5 linked regions of the Nothobranchius furzeri genome follow. Each later gene encodes a partner of the first gene's protein in a complex. Links are inferred from orthologs where the notes say so. Each region holds a gene or a part of one and is shown in the gene's direction. Other genes may lie near its edges.

Region 1 (4,125 bases):
TCTCCTTTAACCCAGAGTCTTAATCATACATGTTTATGTTGGCAGGTATCGGATGGTTTCAGAGGGGGCAATCTCGATTAACCACAAACGGGCTGACCATCCAGAGCAGGTGCTGATCCCCAAAGTCCACATCCTGACTAATGGACTCACGCTGCTCAAAGTAGGAAAAAGGAATTTCTACATCATCAAGTGGCTCGGCCTCTGACACTCCCTGATTGAGAATGAAGGCACTAAACTAAACTGTAATGACTGATGACGAAGGTAGGCAGCAATACTTTGGCAGTCAGTGAGAAGATTTTGATGGACTTTTACTTTATAAGTATTTGTTTTTATGGACATATAAATATGTAAATGCATAGCTGTGATGCTTATTTAAAAGTGTGGTATTAAAGTATTTGATAAGATTGGTTTCTTGCTGATTTTGTGCTGCAATAGTTTAGTCAAGTGAACACAAGATGGCGCTATTGTTTTAATGGCTGGCTGTAGCCGGCCTCATCTGCACCACTTATCCTGCTGTGACCCTTTTAAGTAAACATTTTTTCCAGTAAAAGTACATTGCATCATTTCTCACAAAACAGTTTAAACACTGCACTTTTATTTTGGAACATGAGGCCAAAATCAGCCTTACGTCTGGTGTTTTATTTTCTGTCAGTTTGTGTAAAAAGTAACAAAAGGAGAAAAAAGGTTTTCATGCAGTCATTGACAAAAAGAAACTACCTTAAATTATTTGTATTATATATATATAATGATGTAATTCTCTCTTTTGGGAGTGCATGCTGACTTTTATGTGAAATTGTGAATTTTTTCAGCTGCGATGTAAAAACCAATGCTCGACCCACGGCAGGTTTGATTTCTGCAGGTTCTTGGCTTATTAGTTTTGTTTTACACTCCGTTGTAGTGTGTCTTTGGCATACGTGTGTTGCTTTATGATGCTGGATTTTTTTTTTAAATTTGGTAAATATTTGGTTAATACTTATATTTAGAATAAATCAACTATTAAAAACAGAGTAATGCACACTGAAGATGTTTAGAAAAATAATGGTTTTGACTCCTTTGCAAATTACCTGTAAATTTAGTATTTTTTTTAGATGTGTAACTATAAAGCTTGTGTGATGTAGTCATTTACACAAAAATACGTTTTCTATTTTTAAGAAGCATACATAAATATTTATTTTAGTAAAACGTGATGGAAAAATATGAGCCGACTTCCCCACTCATACACGCCTACTGTCACTTTAAATAAAGTAGGTGGGGCCAGGTGTCGCTTAACCAATGAGCGTCCTTTGCCGGGTTTAAATAGCTCTGTGTGTCAATCATAAGCCCCTCCCCCTCCCGTCTCAGTCCCCACCACTGCTCTGCTCCTCAATCGCCATATTGGGTGCTGAGGTTTCTCTGCAGTTTCTCTCTGAGCGGAGCGAAACTGACAGCGTCCTCAGTTCCTGTGCACTTTGTTTTGATGATTCTCGGAGACCATCTTCGACTCCAGAGCCCCGCAGCAGTTAACGTCTTCCACTTCGACGTATGCATGGCATAGGTGTAGAGCTGCGTCGGATCTTTCCCCCGTGACCTGGAGATACCGCTGTTGTTGTTTTTTATTTGTATTTTTTTTTCAGCGACGTGTTTTTCTTATGACAGCTGGACGCTCCCGGCTGACTGAAAATAGCGTGTTTATTGGGGGGAGGGGAAATGTCTAATGTTCGAGTTTCAAACGGGAGTCCGACGTTGGAGCGGACGGAGGCCCGGGTGTCGGAGCACCCGAAGCCGTCTGCCTGCAGAAGTCTGTTCGGCCCGGTGGATCACGAAGAGTTAAAGAAGGATTTTAACGAACACATGCGGGAGTTCAAAGAGGCTGCCGCTGCCAAGTGGGGCTTCGACTTCGCCAGTGACACGCCACTGAGCAACGGCAGGTTCAAATGGGAACTAGTGGATTCCGAGGAGATGCCGGACTTCTACCACCGGCAGCCGCGGAGGGAGAAGGGCGTCTGCCCCAGGAGCACCAGTGTGGATCTAAACGGGAACCATAACTGCGTCCTGGTGGCGTCGAGCGGGGATACCAGCAAGCCCGACGGTCAAACGGAGTGCACCGGGCTGAGGAAGAGACCTGCTAGTCACGGTACTACATTTGCATCTAATCAGGTTTTAGAGCCGGAGCTCGGCTTTCACCCGACAGGAAGCACATCTATAACCCTCTTCTTGTGTTTTTGCTCCGAGTTTCCCTGACAGAATTTCTTTGCTGTTCGCAGAGCCTCCGACCCAAAACAAGAGGTCCCATACCAGCCCAGACGAGGTTAGCTGTCCGAACCTGAGCCACTCAGTAGAACACACACCCAGAAAGCCCAGTCCCAAGAGACAGACGTGAGCCCGAGAGAAAACGGTGAGGCTTAAACTCATCCGTATACAATAACCGCATGTAGCTTCTGTTCCTCAGCTGTGATCTGAGCCACAGCAGGTTATATAACACGTTCTCTCCACATATTATCGAGTAGCTTTAACGGTGCTGCACGCTTATTTTATCTTCAGTAAGTAAAATGCTGGACTCTAGTAACCATTTCAACATTTTATATTCATTTAATCACAATGAGATCAACTCTGCCGAGAGAAAAAGGCTTTAACGTCTCACTGCTGCAGCTTTTCTACTAAACTGTAAACAAGGGCTGAACAACAGTGTAGTAGTAACACGTCAGCAGCCACTGCCCTCGGAGCAGAGCAGAGAAGGGGCTGGTCTCTGAACACACACACGCACGCACGCACACACACACACACGCACGCACGCTGTCCCTGCAGGCAGAGGAGTGTGCTGAGGAGACCCGCAGGTCCGAATTCAAGTAAAGGGAGGAGGGATGGGCACGATGAGATCTTCCTCACAGTGGTTTAGGACCTGTTTAGGCTGCAGATGAGAACACTTACATCAATGTTTCTTTTTAGCACAGAAATTTGAACAATAACCGGGTGTGATTCAATATGAGGATGTTTTTCTGTTCAAAAGTAAATCCTTGAAAGATTTTATTATAAAATATGATGAAAGAACTGCACTAAAAGACAAAATAGCTGTTAGTTTCATAAGTGTGTGTGTGTGTGTGTGTGTGTGTGTGTGTGTAACAGGTCAGTTTAGCTTAACCTTGTTAGTCTTTTTAAAAATAGGAAACTGATAGGGGGTGCACACTTGAAATAAACAGTCTAGTTATGAAAAATAATTAAAGTGAAACTTTTTCCATGAATTGTTAAAAGATGATTTTTCAAAAATGTTAATACTAACCTTTTTTTTTTCTTATTTTTCCCACCTTCTCCACACAGTTCGAGCATTTTTTTTTTTGCGAGGGTGTTGTTTTTTATATGCATCTTTTATTTTATTTTTTTGGAGGCCTGACTGTTTGTTGGCTTTTTGGGGATGAGGATCTGCGCAGCATCAGAAACATATCGGCTCTTCTGAGGACTGAGGAGGACGCTGTTGAAGCACTGAATAGAAACACTAAAGTTGTGGCACTCAATTAAAAATAAGTTACTGCCTCTAACAGCAGTCGATGTAGCAGTGTGCAATTAGGTTTTATTTCCCTTTTTTGCTCGTTTTGTTACTACCTGTGTGTAAATAAATTAATAAAGATGGATATATATATATATAGGTATAAATATGTCTCCATGTGTAGCACATAAGGAACTTAATTCTAAATCCAATCCTTTTTGTAAAAAGTTGTGAATTTTCATTTGACTTGAAGAATTGCAGTGATGGTTTCCAAAATGCTGTTTTTTATTTTTATTTCCAGACTGTGTGACATTTGCCACTGTCCTTAATTGCTACACTTAAAAAGAAAAAATCATGGCTTCTCACCGTTTCTGTAGTGTTCCTTCACTCCGTCAGCTTCCTAATGCAGCAGTGAAGAATGGTACAAATGTAGCTCACGTATCGTAATTTAATTTGTTTTTTCATTTATTACAGCGCCTCCCTGCAAAGGGCTGGACTCGTCTAAACGACGAGGAGATGTAAAAATTCTGTTAAGATTTTCTGATATTTATTTTTTAATCGAGGTGCTTTTAGCATCAGAGTCCTGGAATATTATGAAACAATTTTTTTGAAGTTTTTCTGTGCGCCTCAGCTACGTTTTAATGTTCGAGTGTTTCCTTTGAGCT
Region 2 (4,281 bases), on another chromosome or scaffold:
CGTTTATTCTCATGAAAATGGCAGCATTCTATTTTTCTGTTAATAAATTCGCTCTGCAGTAAAAAAAAAATACAGCATTCACTACTGGGTTGGAGAGCGCATTTTCAGAGTGGCAGATTAAATTTACAAACGCTATATTAATTGGGGGTGTTTCTGAAAATGTGCTCTGCAGTTAGAAAATTAGAATGCTGCTTTTTTTTTCCTAATTGCACAAGAGCGCATTTTCAGAGCAGATAAAATTTACAAACGCATCCAATTAATATAGTGTTCGTAAATTTCATCTGCTGCTCGAAAAATACGCTGTTAGAAAAAAAAGCTGCATTGAATGCTGTTTTTCTTTCTTTCCTTTCTTTTTTTTTTTTTTTTTTTTTACTACGGAACGCTTCCCACAGATAATTAGAATGCTGAGCCTTCTATCACGCTAAAACATCATGAAAGGTTAAAGAAAAAAAGTCGGCCTCGGGCTCGGGTTGGGCCAGAGAATCCTGAAAACTTTTTCGGACTGGTTTGGGCTGGGGCTCCACCCCCTCGGGCCGGGCGGACACGGGCTCAGATTTTAGGCCTGTGCAGGGCTGTAGTCCCAATTCTTTGCCCCCCCCCCCCCCCCCCCCCCCCCCCCCAATAATTGTTTACATTCTCCAACCACAACTAAAACTACAATGAAGACAGTTTAGGTGGAAAACAAAGTCATTTAAATTATTGATAAATTAAGATACAATAATGCTTTTAGTTATTTTAGAGTGCATCTGGCCCGTCTACTGTAAAAACCTCAGGACCAAACTTGGTTGAGGACTCCTGTTCTAAGGTAAAGAAATTAATTAAATGTTTAAAAAACTAACAATGGCAACTTTAAACTTATATGATGGTAGGCTAAAATGGAATTAATGTTTGTGAAATTAGATCTAATTGACAAGAAAATAATTTTATAAACACATTTTTTACAAACAAAAGCACTCCACATCCCTCTAAGATGACGTCAGGGTACGTCATCCATTTTGATCATGTGACCAGTGAGGGCTGCTCATTTAGTGTCTCCGTCTCATCCCAACTTCTGGTGATTTCTAACAACACGTTAAATTTAACAAACACCAGAAGTACTTTTGTGAACATTTTTATCTAATCTAAAGCGTTGGATTCATTCATAGCGGTCCCCTGTGAGAACACTGCAAGATAAGCAATAAAATAAAGAGTACAGTGCCACCCATTCGAAATAATCGGTGTATCATGAAGTCAAAAACGAACGCTCCTCTTACAACGCGGGAAACGCCGCTGTGTTGGTTCAGTTTTGTGGACTGAGCTGCGACCGTCGCGCTCCCCTTTTGAATTAATCCACATAATTACTATCGAGGCTGGGCACACATGCCCATATACCTGTTTTTGTGTTGTCGTTTGATCTGAGAGCGTTTCATCTTCTACACGAACCCCCTATCTCCCGCTCGGCTGTTTCCGGACTGGCCGAAGGGAGCCGGGGCGGCGGTTAGTGTCGGTTTGTCCCCGCGTTGCTCCTTAACATCGCCCCTCTGTAGCCACCGAGCCGCTGTCGCTGCTGCTGCTAGCGCGCACACAAAGAGACCAGTATTGCTAAGCAGCTAAACTTTAAACAGTCCCGCTCTTGTAAGCAAAATGGACTCATTTCAGAAAGTGGAGAAGATAGGAGAAGGGACGTATGGAGTGGTGTACAAAGCCAAGAATAAAGTGACCGGAGAAACTGTTGCTCTGAAGAAAATCCGCCTGGACACGTAAGTTAAGAGGCAGGAGTTATCTCCAGAGCTAACGCCGCGCTAAAAACATCCACTAATGCTTCAGATTTTTTTTTTATCCACGACCTCGTGGCTGGTGATCGTCTGCCCACTTCCTGCAACAACAGAAATAAGCGTTTCTCGTTAAACTGTAATTATTCAGTGCCTAATATAACCTCCACACAGGACTAAGTGACGTAGCATCCTTGGATATAACCCTGTAGGTTAGCTGGATATGTTTGTTTATGTTTATGCTTATGTGCTTAGCAGACGCTTTTACCCAAAGCGACTTACAATTTTTTGCAAGTCGCTTTGGGTAAAAGCGTCTGAGCAAGTGAAATATGTAACTATTTAAGGGAATTTTTCATTGTCTTGTGTTTTAGTCTACGATCAGATGTTACTAGTGAGTGATCAGAAGTAGTTTTCTGACTCTACATTGAATGCTATTCTGTTTCATTCCTTTGGTTGATTTATTAGTTGAATGGACATGTTTTATAGTTTTGCTGCTGTAGGAGGGTACCTTTCAGTATCTCAAGCTGTCAAACTACCAACATACCCAAACTTCAGCACTCTGAAAAAAGCATTTGGATCCTTATCGATGTCTTCCAACACAAATACCAGAGATGATCAAAGTAAAAACAGAAAGCAGTTTTCAAATGATGATTTAATTTATTTATTAAGGAAACAAACAACCAATCAACACCCTTAGCTGCATAAACATCCATCAAGCATCTGTGAGAACTAATAACAAGGCTTACATTGCTGTGAAGGATTCCTAGACCACATTTTTTTGACATTGTTTTATTCCAGCCAAACGAGTGGGTTGACATGTTTGAAGTCATGGTTCCATCAATTACAGTAAGTGGTCAAGGTCCTGAAGCAGCCCCAGACCATCACTCTGCCACCACCGTGTCTGACTGTTGGTATATTGATGTGTTTCTGAAGTTAGTTTTTCACCAAAATAGTCTCACCACTCCAGAGAATATTTTCAAAAAAGTCTCAAAGATGCTGTTGACTGAAAAACCATTTTAAATATGTTTTTCCTGATTATGGTTACTGAGTTTTTCATGCAGACTGAACATGAAAATAGTCTCCCACACCTTTCTCCTGCATTAGCTTCTGATAGAAAATAGACGGTGAAACTAGAATTAGAAAAGCCTGACAGATCTACGTCACACTGAATAACATTCATGGACTCACCCATCTTGGGTGTTGTTGGATTAGTGTCCAGTAAATTTTTTGTTCTAGTGTCCAGGAAACAGCAGAGAACTTCTCAGCTAATTCAAGCTAACCTTTAGCATTAGCAATGCCACCACACAGCCGAAGTTCCTCCAGCCTTGTGTTATTTGTGGAGATAAAATGTCTATGTTGCAAATCAGTGGTCGAGTTGCATTGCTGTTGTCCGATCCGGAGTGAGATGTCCAAATATCAGGAAAAAGACTCCAAATCCTGCCATCAGAAGGTCTGCTGTGATGTGGGCAAATTTTAGGTCAGAAGAATGGTGCACTGGGATATTTCTTCCCCCTGCAAACAACTTACTCGTCATTTATTAGTACTAGAGACTACTACAAAAATGCATTGATTAAACAAGTGTTCCACTTTCTAAAATATCATCAAGATGCTCTTTGGAGACGGTGAGATGGGTCTTTGTGTGGTCACCAGAGATGTTTTACGGAACTGTCCCATAGAGGCTTTTTTGTCTCATCTCTTTCTTATTGTTGAATTTGACCTTAAACTAGCAAAGGCACCATCTGCTGCTGTGTGGGATCATTTAGCGTACTCGATAGCCATGTTTCCACTATTGAAGTTCCAGGAAAACACAATGGATCAGTGTTTTCAGCCGTTGTGTCTGTACAAAATCAGCCTTTTCAGGACTTTGCAAATACGTCAGCATATCATCAGCATGTTTGCAATGAGTGACGTCACTGATCAGCGCGTCCATAGACAATTAAAACATTTTAAAAGTGTAAGAATATAGTAAGAATTTTACAGTGAGAAAGTCCCAAAAGAGTCTAATGTTTCAGTCATTTTGGAAGAAAGGTTACACTGAAACATATTTCATATCCAGCTGGTTGTGGGGATTGCCACTTTTTCTCCATTCAAAACAAAAGGAGGGTCGTAACTACTGTTTACCATCAGTGAGTGAGGGGGTGCCATATCTACTGCAAGCTAATACCGCAGCGCCGACAGTTGTAATTTGACAACTGCCGGCAAAAAGCACAGGATAAAATTTTGACTTCATTTCTACATAATGCACCTTTAAAATTTTTATTCCGTCAAAGTACGCCATAATTTAATCCGTTCGAGGTTAGGGTTGCAGGGATTAACCGGTTTGACTGTTAACCTCGGTTAACTCCCCGTACAGACGTATCCAACACCATCTATAAAAACAATAAAAAGACAATATGGCGTGAGCCGTTAGGACGAAAACAAAAGCGAAAATGAACGCGAGCATGCAGCAGAAGCAGTGACAACAACCATCGGGACCATTTGGGATATGAGGAGAGCAGCTGCGTGACATGAAAAGCATTTTGCGTTTTAC
Region 3 (4,065 bases), on another chromosome or scaffold:
TCGGTATCGGCCATTTTTTAACATATCTGTATCGGTCCGATAAATAAAACTAGGTCGATATTAACTGGTATTTTTTTCCATCTTGTTTCCATTTGTTTATCAGTTTCAGAGGGTGAGGGGGTGCTGTGTATTTTAGTCAAGTGACAGTGATTGCAATCATCTCAGTAGAGTAAGTGTGTGTGTGTGTGTGTGTGTGTGTGTACATAATAATGTAAATTCAGCTTTAATAATATTCAGTCTTTACAAAATCTGCTGATTTTAGAAGCATTAATGTCAGTATATCGATATCGGCCCTAACAGTGATATTAATATCGGTATCGGCCCAAAAATGTCACATCAGTGCATCTCTACTCTCAGTTTACCTGCCGGTCTTGATCCCAGTCCTCACCTGTAGTCATGAGCTTTGGGTAATGACAGAAAAAACAAGATGGCGAATACAGGGCGTACACTGTGCGACTTTTTCGTTGGTTGTTCGTCATCTGACACTGTTCACAGGGCACAGCCACGAGTCATGTTCTCACGCTCTGACCGCTCGCACTGTTGTGGTAGTAACACGCCGGTCCAAAGAATGTGTTTTAAGAGTTTTTTTCTCAACGGGTCGAACCTGTGAATCCAGAAACCTGAAAGAGAGGAGACTGTTGTGCCGTCATTGATGTCTGTTGTCCTTGAGGCCTGCCGTAGTTGTGGGAGGACACGCAGGGGTTTATGGGGAATAGAAGTAGAGGAAGAATGAAAGGCATGTAGGAACTAAACCGAGGTTTTGGGATCTGCTTTTACTTGACATGAATACAAAAGGTGCTTTCTTAACATTAACATGTGCAGAGAAAACTGTAAGTAAAAGGTGGAAACGTGTGTGGAGATGAATATGGCTGGCCAGACATTTTGGCGCGTGCGCTGTGTGAGCGGTTCTGGTACATTTGGGTCGCGGTGCAGCTTCAGCGGTGTCATACCCTCACAAGGGATCAGCAGAAATTTAAATATGCTTGATTCTCGTGCGATTGGGAGCTGGTCGGGGGGTCTTAACCGCCTCTCGTAACCCCTTCTATACTACACGACACAAAACTCGACCTGACCTCAAAGACTGTTGCATGGGTGGAAAATTGGCTCAAAATGAGCAGAAAATCACACAGCAGGCCTGGCTTTACAGAGTTTTAGGGATTATAGATTATAACAAAAGTAGCAGCATGAAACAAAAGAACAATCAAATGTCTAGTATAACATCTATTCTGGTTTATGTAGGAAGGCTCATCAGGAAGGTGTTTAACACAGTGGGCTGTTTCTACTCAGGATCTATTTAGTTTTTCACTTTCAACCAACACATCCTGCTGAAATGTGCTCACTTCTGCATCTTTACGTTTCTGGCCTGCTAGCATCATTTTTTAGTGAATTTTAACCGGTTGCTTAGTAATACTGTCACAGAGCACTATCAACTACATCTTACATTGTTGTCAGTGAACGCTGCTTTTTCTCGTAAGGGTTTGATGAATGACTGTAAACAGCCACATCTGCAGCCCAGTGAGGCACCGGCGTGCTCTCCTCAGGAGTTCAGCGTTCAGATTCATCAGCTGACGTTTACCAGGCTCACATCGAAAGCAAAACTCTGCTTCATGCGTACACACCGTGTGTTTAGCTCGAGTATGTGAAGGTTGGCTTAGATGAAGCGAAGCTTGTGCTGTTACTAATGCCAGTCTTGCGTTTGGCTCTCTTGGAGGTGGTGACGCTGTGGTACCGACCTCCTGAAGTTCTGCTGCAGTCCACGTACGCCACTCCGGTGGATATATGGAGCACCGGCTGCATCTTTGCTGAGATGTTCAGACGCAAGTGAGTCAACATAACGTTCAGATCACCGGTATCTGATCTTCTGTCAACTCGGGTTTAGCGGTTTGCTACGACTGGGATGTTTCCAGCTGATAGATGAGCGGTCTGGAAATCCGATAGAATGATTATCTGTGAAACCCGTTTGTTTTTAAAGACTTAGTTCTAGTTTATAACCCAACTTCTGATGATGATTTGCCTTTTAGACTAAATTTAGAATTTAAAAAAAAAGGGAAGGAAAAAAGCTCTGCATCCTCTTCCAAACAAGCCCGGAGATCAACGTTTTCTAGGATGTCAGCATTTGATTTCAGGCTGATGATTTTCAGGGACATAGTTTTACAGATTTTGACAGCTGGAGTTTAGTCTGGGAGCAGCCTGGGTGGACGTACCTAGAAGATATGAAGTTTATGTGTGATGTGTGCAGAGTGGCTCCATCTAGTGGTGGAAAACAGCATGACATCAGCAGCCAACAGGGTTGAAGAACTGTATTTGTTTTAGATGATTAAAATAAAAATTACGTAACTAATTTTACATGTATCGTTTTGTTTTTTAAGACCTTTATTCTGTGGAGAATCAGAAATGGACCAGCTTGGGAAAATATTTGAGTGAGTAACAAAGACTTAGCGGAACATCAGCAACCAGAACGACCAAGCAAATCATTCATTTCACTCATCTGCTTTCAGAGTTATCGGCTTGCCGCAGGAGGAGGAGTGGCCGACCGGCGTCACCGTGTCGAGGAAAAACTTTCCCGCTGTCAAAGCTCGCCCGATCACCGACTTTGTCCCAGAGATAAACGAGCAGGGGGCCAAACTGTTGATGGTAAGACTTGAGTTAACAACTGAAGGCCGATTCTTTTCTCACCTGCCAACGCCCCGGACCCCCGGGCTTTCCTGAACTAAAGCAGAATCGTACAGATGCATGACTTTTCAGCACATTATTAAAGAAATATGAAAATATAATGTAGAAAAGAAATCACACAGAAATATTTTCCTGCAGAAAGTGTCACAGCTAACCATGTGTGGGGGGAATGTTGTCAACCAAATGACTGTAAAAAAAAAAAATAAAATCTATTTTTTGCCTGTTCTCTTTCCTCCACAGCAAATGCTGACCTTTGACCCTTTGAAGCGAATATCAGCGCTGAACGCTCTAGAACATCTGTATTTCCAGGATGAGGAGACGTCGCCTCAGACAACCAGTTGAAATCATGCAGTAGAAAAAGAACCAACAGGATCCAGCGCCCTCTGAGTACAGATTATGTTTAGGGAATATTTCTTAGTTGATCCTGCTTCAGAAATCAGGATGAAACTCTGTGAGGATGAATTTGATGAGCACTGCCATGTTTTTGAGCTTGTACAAGTCACATGTAAAGATGTTATAGCAGCAGTTAAAGGGCAGCACTAGTGATTTTGATGTTTAGTCTTGGAGTCAACATGCAGAAATGTCTCGTTTAAATGCTGCTTTTGTTGCCGTACATTCTCCAGATAGGTTAGTGATGTTTGTCTTACACAGCTGTAACCCGTGTTGAAGCTGCTCGCTGTCTATAATGTGAGTGGCTGTATCTGAATCATGAACATTTTAAATGAAGTTTCAAACAGTTACAGATAAACGCACAAAAGCTTAAAAAATTGGAATTTCTTTTGAGTTATTGCACAAAAGTTTTTTGTGGAATGAATTTCACACCTTCAAATGTCACTAAACACCACACACTGAAATCTGAAATGAATAAAAGAAAGTATTCAATAATTCTGGGTCAGTTTGTTGTGTTTTACAGATGACTGTCTATAAAAATAAAACATCCTCTATCTGAACAGATGAAATATACTTTGTTCTCTAACCCATGTAAGTTTGTATTTGGAGCCACAATCAGAATTAAAGTGTAAAAACACTACAGGCAAATCCAACTTTGATGTAATGTCCTTAAAACAAGTCAAAATGAGGTTCAGTAGTGTGTGTGTGGCCTCCACGTGGTGAGGTGGTGGATGGTCTGAGGGATCTCCTCTCAGATCTGGACTAAAGCATCCTCCACTGCCTGGGCAGTCCGTGTATGATGATGTCCCACATGTGCTCAATTGGATTCAGGTTTGGCGAACAGGCAGGCCAGTCCATAGCATCATGCAGGAACTGCTGACACACTCCAGCCACATGAGGTCTAGCGTTGTCTTATATTAGAAGGAACCCAGGGCCAGCCGCATCTGCATGTTATAGCATGTTGAGGGCCGTGCCACCCCCCACCATTGCTGCCAAATCGGT
Region 4 (3,947 bases), on another chromosome or scaffold:
TTTCTGTTTGGAGTTGTGTTGTTTTCTTTACCCTGACAACAACAAAGTGAGCCTTGAGGACAGTGGCCAGAGAGGAGGCTCTATTCAGGCATTACGGTAGTGAATCCAGCAGCCAGAGAGGAATTCCAGGAATGCTCAAAGGCTCTGACTCAAATTGAAACTAGACTTGGATCTTCTGAGTTTACACAGCAGCTGTGTCCACGAACAAGTTGGTTCTGATCCAACAAGCTCTCTCACCACTAATATGTTCTACTGGCTGAATAAAGCAGCTCAAAGAGGAACATCTGTGTCTAAAGATCCAGTTCACACTTGGACTGGGTCAACCACCATCACCCAAAACAGGATTCTGCCTGGTAACAGCAGGTCCTCCCATTGGTCCAACCCCTGTGTGTGTGTGTGTGTGTGTGTGTGTGTGTGTGTGTGTGTGTGTGTGTGTGTGTGTGTGTGTGTGTGTGTGTGTGTGTGTGTGTGCGCGTGTGTGTGTGTGTGTGTGTGTGTGTGTGTGTGTGTGTGTGTGTGTGTGTGTGTGTGTGTGTGTGTGTGTGTGTGTGTGTGTGTGGATCTAGTAGGGTTAGGGTTCTGAATGGAGGTCTCATTTTAGTGATGTCACATGTTCTGGACCATGTGGTTCCTGCTGATCTGAACCCAGTAGGGCTCACAGGGAACCTAGCAGAATCCAGTAGAACCAAAACTCCACCAGTAGGTGTGAACTGAACAGAACCAGGGTCCTCTGTGGAACTCAGTACCAGAACTACAGAGTTGGACCAGTACTCGGTCTAGTTTTGGGTCGTGATAAGGTGAGATGAATGAGTTACTCCCCCCTCCTCCTTGTGTCCTCTGCTGTTCATTCACACCGAACCGAACCGGCAGCAGGACAAAGGGGGAGGGTCACTGCCGCCCCCTGCCGCCTGTTGGGCCCGGAGGCCCGGTCCCAGACCTCCCACCTCCTCCTAGGGCTAGAGGGAGGAGGGCTCTTCCTGCTCGCGCGCTTGCAGACCGCTTCTCTTTGATCTCACCTCCTCCCACCGCGGCCCCGCCCCTTAACAACAGCCTACGTCACCCGCCTTTACTTGTTCCCAAGCGAAAAAGCCGTTTGTGTGTGGGCGTACAGACACGCGCGCGCAGGGAGGTGCGCGCGGAGGTTTTGTTCGCCAGAGCGAGGCGGTCCGGACCTCAGAGGACTCGCGCACACCAGAGGGGCAGCAGCACACGGAGCAGCCCTGACACCGGGATTCAAAAATACCAGATAGAAAAGACACCGGGCCGGTTCTAGCAGGACACTTGTACCGAACCGGTTCTCTCTGTGTTCCGAGCCAAACCATGGATGAGCAGCTGCTGTGCTGCGAAGTGGACTCCATCCGGAGAGCCTACCAGGACGTGAACCTGTTGAATGACCGGGTCCTCCGAACCATGCTGCGGGCCGAGGAGAACTACCTGCCGGCTCCGAACTACTTCAAGTGCGTCCAAAAGGAAATAGCTCCTAAAATGAGGAAGATCCTAGCGACCTGGATGCTGGAGGTGAGTTTTGATTGTCCCTGGGAATGGTTCCGGTTCTGATCCGGCTGCCCCATCCAGCTCCGGTTTGGACCCGGTCTGGACTGCCGTACCGAAGGCAGTGAGGTCGAACCGATCCGGATTTACTCCAGAATTCACAGTAATGTACACGTATGCAGTCCGGCCCAGCAGGTCCGGACAGTGCGCCATCTTTGCCACCGACGAGATAGGATTTAAAGTCCGTTAAAACCAGTCAGACATCAGCCAGAACCGAGCCGGACCCACCAGGCTCCACAGAAACCAGACCAACTTCAGTTCCACTGGGTCTAAAACTGTCTTGGTTCCGAACGGCTCCGCTGAGGATGGCAGACCAAAAAAAAAAAACAGTTTTAAAGGATGAAAGGGTACCAAATGGGTCTGAAGGTTCGGCTCAGTGTCTCCGGTGTTCTCACGCGTCTGCAGAAAGACTCGGTCCTATTCTGGTCATTTTTATTCATTTTACAAGCTGCCTGGACCGGTCTGGTCCGGACCCGAACCGAGCACGCGAAGGAGCCTCGTGCCCAAACCCAACAGGTCCCGAGGGGCCGGTGTGTCCGAACGTACCGAGTTCTGGTGATTAAAGTGTGTGTGTGCGTGTGTGAGATAGAGAGAATGTGTGTGTGCGTGCGTGTGTGTGTGTGAGACAGTGCGTGTGTGGAGGACTCACCTGTCCGCTCCTCTCCCTTCAGGTGTGTGAGGAGCAGAAGTGTGAGGAGGAGGTCTTTCCTCTGGCCATGAACTACCTGGACCGGTTCCTGTCCGTGGAGTCCAGCAGGAAGAGCCGCCTGCAACTGCTGGGAGCCGCGTGCATGTTCCTGGCGTCCAAGATGAAGGAGACGGTTCCGTTAACGGCGGAGAAGCTCTGCATCTACACGGACAACTCGGTCCAGCCCGGAGAGCTGCTGGTAAGGGCTTTAGGACCGTGTGGGAGGCTGCTGCAGGCACACCAGCAGATCAGGTGTTTAGAAGAAGAAAAAGTTTCTCATTTAGCAAACATCAAGATAAAGAATCACGAGGCTCTTCACAAGAGCCAACAATAAATACTAATATAGAAAATAAAGTAAACAGGAGAGCCTGAGAGAGACAGAAACACCAGCATGAAAAGAAGCCAGTGAGGAAGAAGAGGAGATCAACCTCATCTTCATCACTAGCATCTTTTTTGAGGTGTCAAAAACCAGAACAAAGGTCACGTCACACTTCACCTGCAAGGTTGTCCTCTCCTCACGTGTGTCCATCCCACCAGAAGGTTGTGGGAGATGGAACAAATAGTGTTCTTCTGGAGCGTCTGACAGGCTTGTCTGGTGGTCTACACTGACCCCTAGTGGCCGAGAGGTGCAGCAGCAGGCAGACGCTGAGTTAACGTCTGATTGGTTGTTCTGGTCCACCCACAGCAGATGGAGCTGTTGGTTCTGAACAAGCTGAAGTGGGACCTGGCTTCAGTCACGCCTCATGACTTCATCGAGCACTTCCTGTCCAAACTGAAGATCCATTTGTCCACAAAGCAGATCCTCAGGAAACACGCCCAGACCTTCGTGGCTCTCTGTGCTACAGGTGGGTGCTGGACGTCAGGATTCAGGAGTGGATCCACACACACACGCACGCACGCACACACACACACACACACTAGTGTTGTCAAAAAAATCGATACCTAGATATAAATTGATACTAAAAGTGGTATCTAAATTAGATATTCCATCCCTGTGGTATCGATATTATGGACTATTATACACAGCCTTCTTCAAGTACACCAACACGCACGACAGCCAGATGCCGTAAAGAAGCCTCCGCCTCCCAGACAAACAGAAGAAGAAGATGCCGCATGGCTACATTGCAATTTCCCACGCGAGTTGTCTCCGATCCAAGTTTTGTCTGCCAAATAATAAACAAAAACATAAACAGCGAATTTGGGAGGCGCTTCACAGCCCAACTTCATTAGCATACCAAGTCCGACACGTAGTTGTATATTCACGCTTATGTGCTTAAAGGAAAACTCCCATTTATTGCAACCCGGACTTAATTTCTAGCATGCAGTACGTTTGTTTACTCACGCTGACAACTTTGGTGCTACTTGGATTCTCCGGGGTATTTAGATCCATCGGCAAATCGCCATCAGCGTATATCCATATAACGGGTGCGGACGGGCACCCATGGTGCAGCCTTGAAATAAGACATTATCTGCACCAAAACATCTCTATGTCGAAAGGTTTAGTTAGGAATCATTAACATGATTCCCCTGTTCGTTTGGAGCGGGTCTAGGATTTCTAGGCGTGAACAGACTAGCCGCGGCTAATCTAACCGGTGCTTTTAATTACGTCACTGCTGTGCGCCAATCTGTTTTTATTAAGATTACCGGTAGATGTACCTTTGTCCTACTGTGGAGAAATTCGTTTTCTCCCTTTATTGACCAACAGAGT
Region 5 (3,998 bases), on another chromosome or scaffold:
CCTTGGTGAAAGCTACAGGTGACTGGTTAACATGTGTAACTGCATGTCCAGACTGTCCACACACAGAGCAGTAGGGGCGGGGAAGAGGGAGGATCAGACTCAGACAGACACACAGCAGAGCACCTGCGGGTGGAGGGAGACAAGAGGCAATGAGGAGGACGAAAAAGGCGAGCGAGAGGGAGGAGAGTGCGACGAAGACGGTGAGAAAATGAGCGCCAGCAGTCGGAAAGTGGAGATTTCTTAGTGTTCAGTTATTAAATCCATAGAAATTATAAACATTTGACATATTGCTTTTTTAACATTAGTAAATTATTTTACATATACGGTAGTTTAGCATTATTTTGGTTATAAATGTATTCTACGCAACAGAAAATCTGAGGAGCCACTTGGGAGCCGAAAGAGCCGGCTCTTTTTGGTGAGCTGAGCCAAAAGTACCGGCTCTCGAAAAAGAGCCGGAATTCCCACCACTAGATAGAACCTCAAACTAAACCCAGACATGTTTGGACTTGTAGTAACTTGCTTGTTTGTTTTTTGTTTATATTTCTATGTTTTTGTATCTGACTGTTTTTCATTTGTACATTGTAAATTGTTTTATTTAGTCATCCTGTTGAGGAACTGCAGATGTAAATTAGCAATTGTGCTATAATCTGGCCTCTTTACAATGGATACAACGTATGTGATTGTTATTAATGCGCACTGTCCCGAATAAATAAATAAATGAAATGATCGACCACCATCTCCGAGAAAGAGAGGATCACAAGCACAAACTGAAAATAAACGAGTGCGTCTGGCACCAGAAATAAGGGCGCTAGAGTCGAACACCTTGTGTATTAAAACATTTTCACACACTGCAGGTGAGGCCTCGAAGATGGGGACATTTAAGGCAGCTTTCACTAGATTCAAAAGAACACGTATTTGTTTTACCCATTTCTGATAATTATGTAGACGGTCTCTTAACATTGGGAAGGATGTGCAACCCATGCAGGGGGTTGTGGGACTAATATTATAGCATCAGCTGCTCCACTATTAAGTAAAATGACTATAAATAAGCCGATAATGATATGTTTGGTTGATTTGGTCATATTTTGGTGTGTCTGGTTGCTGCTTTGCTTATTAAATTATTAAAAACCAGAACATTTCTACTCCCAGGCGCTAGGGGGCGGTGAAGCCGGTGCGTGATGACGTCACGTCTTTTTACGTAGTAAAAACAAGGCGCGTGTGAGTTGGTGGCGCGTTTAAAGAGTCCAGTTTGGAGAGTAAAGAGAGAAACGCGAGGATTAGAAGTGCATTTTCCCGGATTAGGGTTATTAATCTGAAGCGGAAGGATGTCTCAACACAGGTTTGATGCTTAACTACATTTAGTTCCTGTTTTCTGTCTTATTCGCTTATTTAAACCAAGAAAATGAAACAAGTCGATGATCCGATTAAAATAATCCAGTTAAATAAACGGATCACTTAATCTGATGTCGGACTACTGGGGTTTCCTTTCTAAACTGCTGGTTTGATCATTTTATGCAGATTATTTTTAATGGTGTTTAAAAGCAGCTCTCCCAGTGGTTCTAGCGGTGGGACTTTGCGCGACCTGTCATCATCCTGATGGCGGGCTGGGGGCGGGGGGGTGGGGGTGGGGAGAGTCTTCCTCAGGATGAAGGTCCGGTTCTGGCTGATCAGACCCATCTTGTCCACCTGCAGCCGGACCCTGATGCACCTGCCCTGCTCCAGCCTCCGGAACAAACGGTCCCGGACCTGCCTGGCTGAGGGTCCGGACTCTGAGTGCACCCCCACAGAGTCCATCCAGCAGAGACCACCGCCTCTCAAGGTCCCACTGCTCCTCCCCAGGGGCAAAGAGAACGAGTTTGTGCTGGCCCGGAGGTCCCGGAGGAGGAAAAGCTCCAAGTCAGGTAGGAGAAACCCCCCCACCCCCCCACGCTTCCATCTGGCTGCCTTCAGAAACCTTAAACCTCTCTGATTGGCTGGTTTCTCTCCTCAGGTGTTTCATTGGATCATCTACCTGAGGAGCTGCTCCTGAGGATCTACTCTTGCCTCCCCTTGCATGACCTGCTGAGGATTTCTGGAGTCAGTAGGCGCTGGCAGCGTTTGGCGTAAGAGATCCTGCTGGACCGCACACACACACACACACTCAGAAAACCCAGCTGTGGTTAGGGTCGGGGCTTCTCCAGGGGGTCCCTGATAAGTCCCTGCTTGACCAATCGCACCTGTTCACTCGAGGATTTGTCGCTAACACCAACGATGCTCAGGTCAAGTTCTCGTGCGTCTGCGGGCAGACCCTGTTAATGGATGCTAGATAAGTGAGCATCTTCCCCCAGATGGAGCAAGAATTATTCATTCATGCCAACGAGCACTACAGAGAACTAGAACAGAGCACCGGCTGTTTGATTAGAGCCGTCTTCCTGGAGGCGTTTATTTAGTTTATGTGTTTCCATGGCAACGCCGGAAGTCCGCTTCCGTTCTGTTTCTCCTCGTATTTCATTTGAGTTTCCATCAGTGGGGCTTTGGGCGGAGCAGCAGAGACATGCAGGTGACCTTTGGGCTGGAGGGGATCAGGATCCGGTTCTGAGGTAATCTGTGTGTTTCAGGTCCGATGAGTCTCTGTGGTACAGCGTGGACCTGGAGGGGCTGACCCACGTGGGCCCGGCTCTGCAACAGGTTCTGAGGACCGGGGTCCGCCGGCTGCGCTGCCCTCGAGCTTTTGTAGAGGAACAATACCTGACCGACTCTCGGTGAGTCCGACAGCCCGGATTGGGGTCCGGTCCCAGCAGCAGGTAGAACCCCCCTGATAATGGGTTCTGTTCTGTCCTTCCAGCCCGCTGCAGATCGTTGAGTTGGACCTGTCCAGCTCTATCATCCCGACCTCGACTCTCCAGAACATTTTGGGTCGCTGCAGGCTGCTGCACCACCTGAGCCTGGAGGGTCTGCAGCTCTCCAACAGCATCATCAGGTCTGACTTGTACCGGGTCAGGATTTGGTCTGATTGGTTCTGGTTGTTTCAGACATGAAAATCCCTCACGTAGGGTCACAGCGAGGCCAGCTTTCCCAGTTCAACCAGTTCCAGTATTATCCACTGGAGGACATACTCATGAGCCCCCCCGACACCACCAACAGTAGTGGAAATAAGTCCATCTGAACCGGCGACGCGCTCGAACGCAGCTCATCTGAACCGGCGACGCGCTCGAACGCAGCTCATCTGAACCAGCGACGCTTGAACACAGCTCATCTGGACCGGCGACGCTCCAATGCAGCTCGTCTGGACCAGCGACGCGCTCGAACGCAGCTCGTCTGAACCGGCGACACTTGAACACAGCTTGTCTGGACCGGCGACGCTCCAATGCAGCTCGTCTGGACCAGCGACGTTCGAACGCAGCTCGTCTGGACCAGCGACGCTCGAACGCAGCTCGTCTGGACCAGCGACTCGCTCGAACGCAGCTCGTCTGGACCAGCGACGCTCGAACGCAGCTCGTCTGAACCGGCGACACTTGAACACAGCTCATCTGGACCGGCGACGCTCCAATGCAGCTCGTCTGGACCAGCGACGCGCTCGAACGCAGCTCGTCTGAACCGGCGACACTTGAACACAGCTTGTCTGGACCGGCGACGCTCCAATGCAGCTCGTCTGGACCAGCGACGTTCGAACGCAGCTCGTCTGGACCAGCGACGCTCGAACGCAGCTCGTCTGGACCAGCGACTCGCTCGAACGCAGCTCGTCTGGACCAGCGACGCTCGAACGCAGCTCGTCTGGACCAGCGACACGCTCGAACGCAGCTCGTCTGGACCAGCGACGCTCGAACGCAGCTTGTCTGAACCGGCGACGCTCGAATGCAGCTCGTCTGAACCAGCGACGCTCAAACGCAGCTCGTCTGGACTGGCGACGCTCAAACGCAGCTCGTCTGAATCGGCAACGCTCGAACGCAGCTCGTCTGGACCGGCGACACTCGAACGCAGCTCGTCTGGACCAGCGATGCTCGAACGCAGCTCGTCTG

What was found.
Region 2: the proteins of cdkn1bb (region 1) and cdk2 are in contact, whole or in part, in a crystal structure (PDB 1JSU), measured with the Homo sapiens proteins. The link is inferred for Nothobranchius furzeri from reciprocal best matches to the Homo sapiens genes CDKN1B and CDK2. Residues at the interface, in NP_004055.1 of Homo sapiens: Met52, Ser56, Trp60, Phe62, Phe64, Gln65, Asn66, His67, Pro69, Lys73, Tyr74, Glu75, Trp76, Gln77, Glu78, Val79, Glu80, Lys81, Gly82, Ser83, Leu84, Pro85, Glu86, Phe87, Tyr88, Tyr89, Arg90, Pro92, Arg93; in NP_001789.2 of Homo sapiens: Gly13, Thr14, Tyr15, Gly16, Val17, Val18, Tyr19, Lys20, Ala21, Arg22, Asn23, Lys24, Gly27, Glu28, Val30, Ala31, Leu32, Lys33, Thr47, Glu51, Val64, Leu67, Asp68, Val69, Ile70, His71, Thr72, Glu73, Lys75, Tyr77.
Region 3: the proteins of cdkn1bb (region 1) and cdk4 are in contact, whole or in part, in a crystal structure (PDB 6P8F), measured with the Homo sapiens proteins. The link is inferred for Nothobranchius furzeri from reciprocal best matches to the Homo sapiens genes CDKN1B and CDK4. Residues at the interface, in NP_004055.1 of Homo sapiens: Glu53, Ser56, Lys59, Trp60, Phe62, Phe64, Gln65, His67, Lys68, Pro69, Lys73, Tyr74, Glu75, Trp76, Gln77, Glu78, Val79; in NP_000066.1 of Homo sapiens: Gly18, Thr19, Val20, Tyr21, Lys22, Ala23, Arg24, Asp25, Pro26, His27, Ser28, His30, Val32, Leu34, Ser36, Met75, Asp76, Cys78, Ala79, Thr80, Ser81, Lys88, Thr90, Val92.
Region 4: the proteins of cdkn1bb (region 1) and ccnd1 are in contact, whole or in part, in a crystal structure (PDB 6P8F), measured with the Homo sapiens proteins. The link is inferred for Nothobranchius furzeri from reciprocal best matches to the Homo sapiens genes CDKN1B and CCND1. Residues at the interface, in NP_004055.1 of Homo sapiens: Lys25, Pro26, Ser27, Ala28, Cys29, Arg30, Asn31, Leu32, Phe33, Pro35, Val36, His38, Glu39, Glu40, Leu41, Thr42, Asp44, Leu45, His48, Cys49, Met52; in NP_444284.1 of Homo sapiens: Met56, Ile59, Val60, Trp63, Glu66, Val67, Glu70, Glu92, Lys95, Lys96, Ser97, Arg98, Leu99, Gln100, Leu101, Ile126, Tyr127, Thr128, Asp129, Ser131, Arg133, Glu136, Gln139, Met140, Leu142, Leu143, Asn146, Lys147.
Region 5: the proteins of cdkn1bb (region 1) and skp2 are in contact, whole or in part, in a crystal structure (PDB 2AST), measured with the Homo sapiens proteins. The link is inferred for Nothobranchius furzeri from reciprocal best matches to the Homo sapiens genes CDKN1B and SKP2. Residues at the interface, in NP_004055.1 of Homo sapiens: Ala181, Gly182, Ser183, Glu185; in NP_005974.2 of Homo sapiens: Arg294, Asp319, Val321, Arg344, Tyr346, Asp347, Gly369.

Annotation. Positions count from the first base shown.
Region 1 is NC_091744.1:57,771,977-57,776,101, forward strand, and holds cdkn1bb (cyclin dependent kinase inhibitor 1Bb), read left to right. Parts: upstream 1-1,420; 5' UTR 1,421-1,686; coding exon 1,687-2,113; intron 2,114-2,243; coding exon 2,244-2,359; 3' UTR 2,360-2,374; intron 2,375-3,294; 3' UTR 3,295-3,619; downstream 3,620-4,125. Other genes in the region: yars2 (tyrosine--tRNA ligase, mitochondrial), read left to right, coding at 46-205. UniProt on the Homo sapiens protein: Important regulator of cell cycle progression. Inhibits the kinase activity of CDK2 bound to cyclin A, but has little inhibitory activity on CDK2 bound to SPDYA. Involved in G1 arrest. Potent inhibitor of cyclin E- and cyclin A-CDK2 complexes.
Region 2 is NC_091743.1:49,088,353-49,092,633, reverse strand, and holds the start of cdk2 (cyclin-dependent kinase 2), read left to right. Parts: upstream 1-1,481; 5' UTR 1,482-1,623; coding exon 1,624-1,739; intron 1,740-4,281. UniProt on the Homo sapiens protein: Serine/threonine-protein kinase involved in the control of the cell cycle; essential for meiosis, but dispensable for mitosis. Phosphorylates CABLES1, CTNNB1, CDK2AP2, ERCC6, NBN, USP37, p53/TP53, NPM1, CDK7, RB1, BRCA2, MYC, NPAT, EZH2.
Region 3 is NC_091743.1:49,241,583-49,245,647, forward strand, and holds the end of cdk4 (cyclin-dependent kinase 4), read left to right. Parts: intron 1-1,711; coding exon 1,712-1,821; intron 1,822-2,369; coding exon 2,370-2,420; intron 2,421-2,498; coding exon 2,499-2,634; intron 2,635-2,913; coding exon 2,914-3,015; 3' UTR 3,016-3,558; downstream 3,559-4,065.
Region 4 is NC_091749.1:21,576,472-21,580,418, forward strand, and holds the start of ccnd1 (G1/S-specific cyclin-D1), read left to right. Parts: upstream 1-1,143; 5' UTR 1,144-1,320; coding exon 1,321-1,518; intron 1,519-2,222; coding exon 2,223-2,438; intron 2,439-2,924; coding exon 2,925-3,084; intron 3,085-3,947. UniProt on the Homo sapiens protein: Regulatory component of the cyclin D1-CDK4 (DC) complex that phosphorylates and inhibits members of the retinoblastoma (RB) protein family including RB1 and regulates the cell-cycle during G(1)/S transition.
Region 5 is NC_091746.1:70,421,679-70,425,676, reverse strand, and holds the start of skp2 (S-phase kinase-associated protein 2), read left to right. Parts: upstream 1-1,195; 5' UTR 1,196-1,325; coding exon 1,326-1,339; intron 1,340-1,692; coding exon 1,693-1,901; intron 1,902-1,990; coding exon 1,991-2,102; intron 2,103-2,597; coding exon 2,598-2,741; intron 2,742-2,824; coding exon 2,825-2,959; intron 2,960-3,998. UniProt on the Homo sapiens protein: Substrate recognition component of a SCF (SKP1-CUL1-F-box protein) E3 ubiquitin-protein ligase complex which mediates the ubiquitination and subsequent proteasomal degradation of target proteins involved in cell cycle progression, signal transduction and transcription.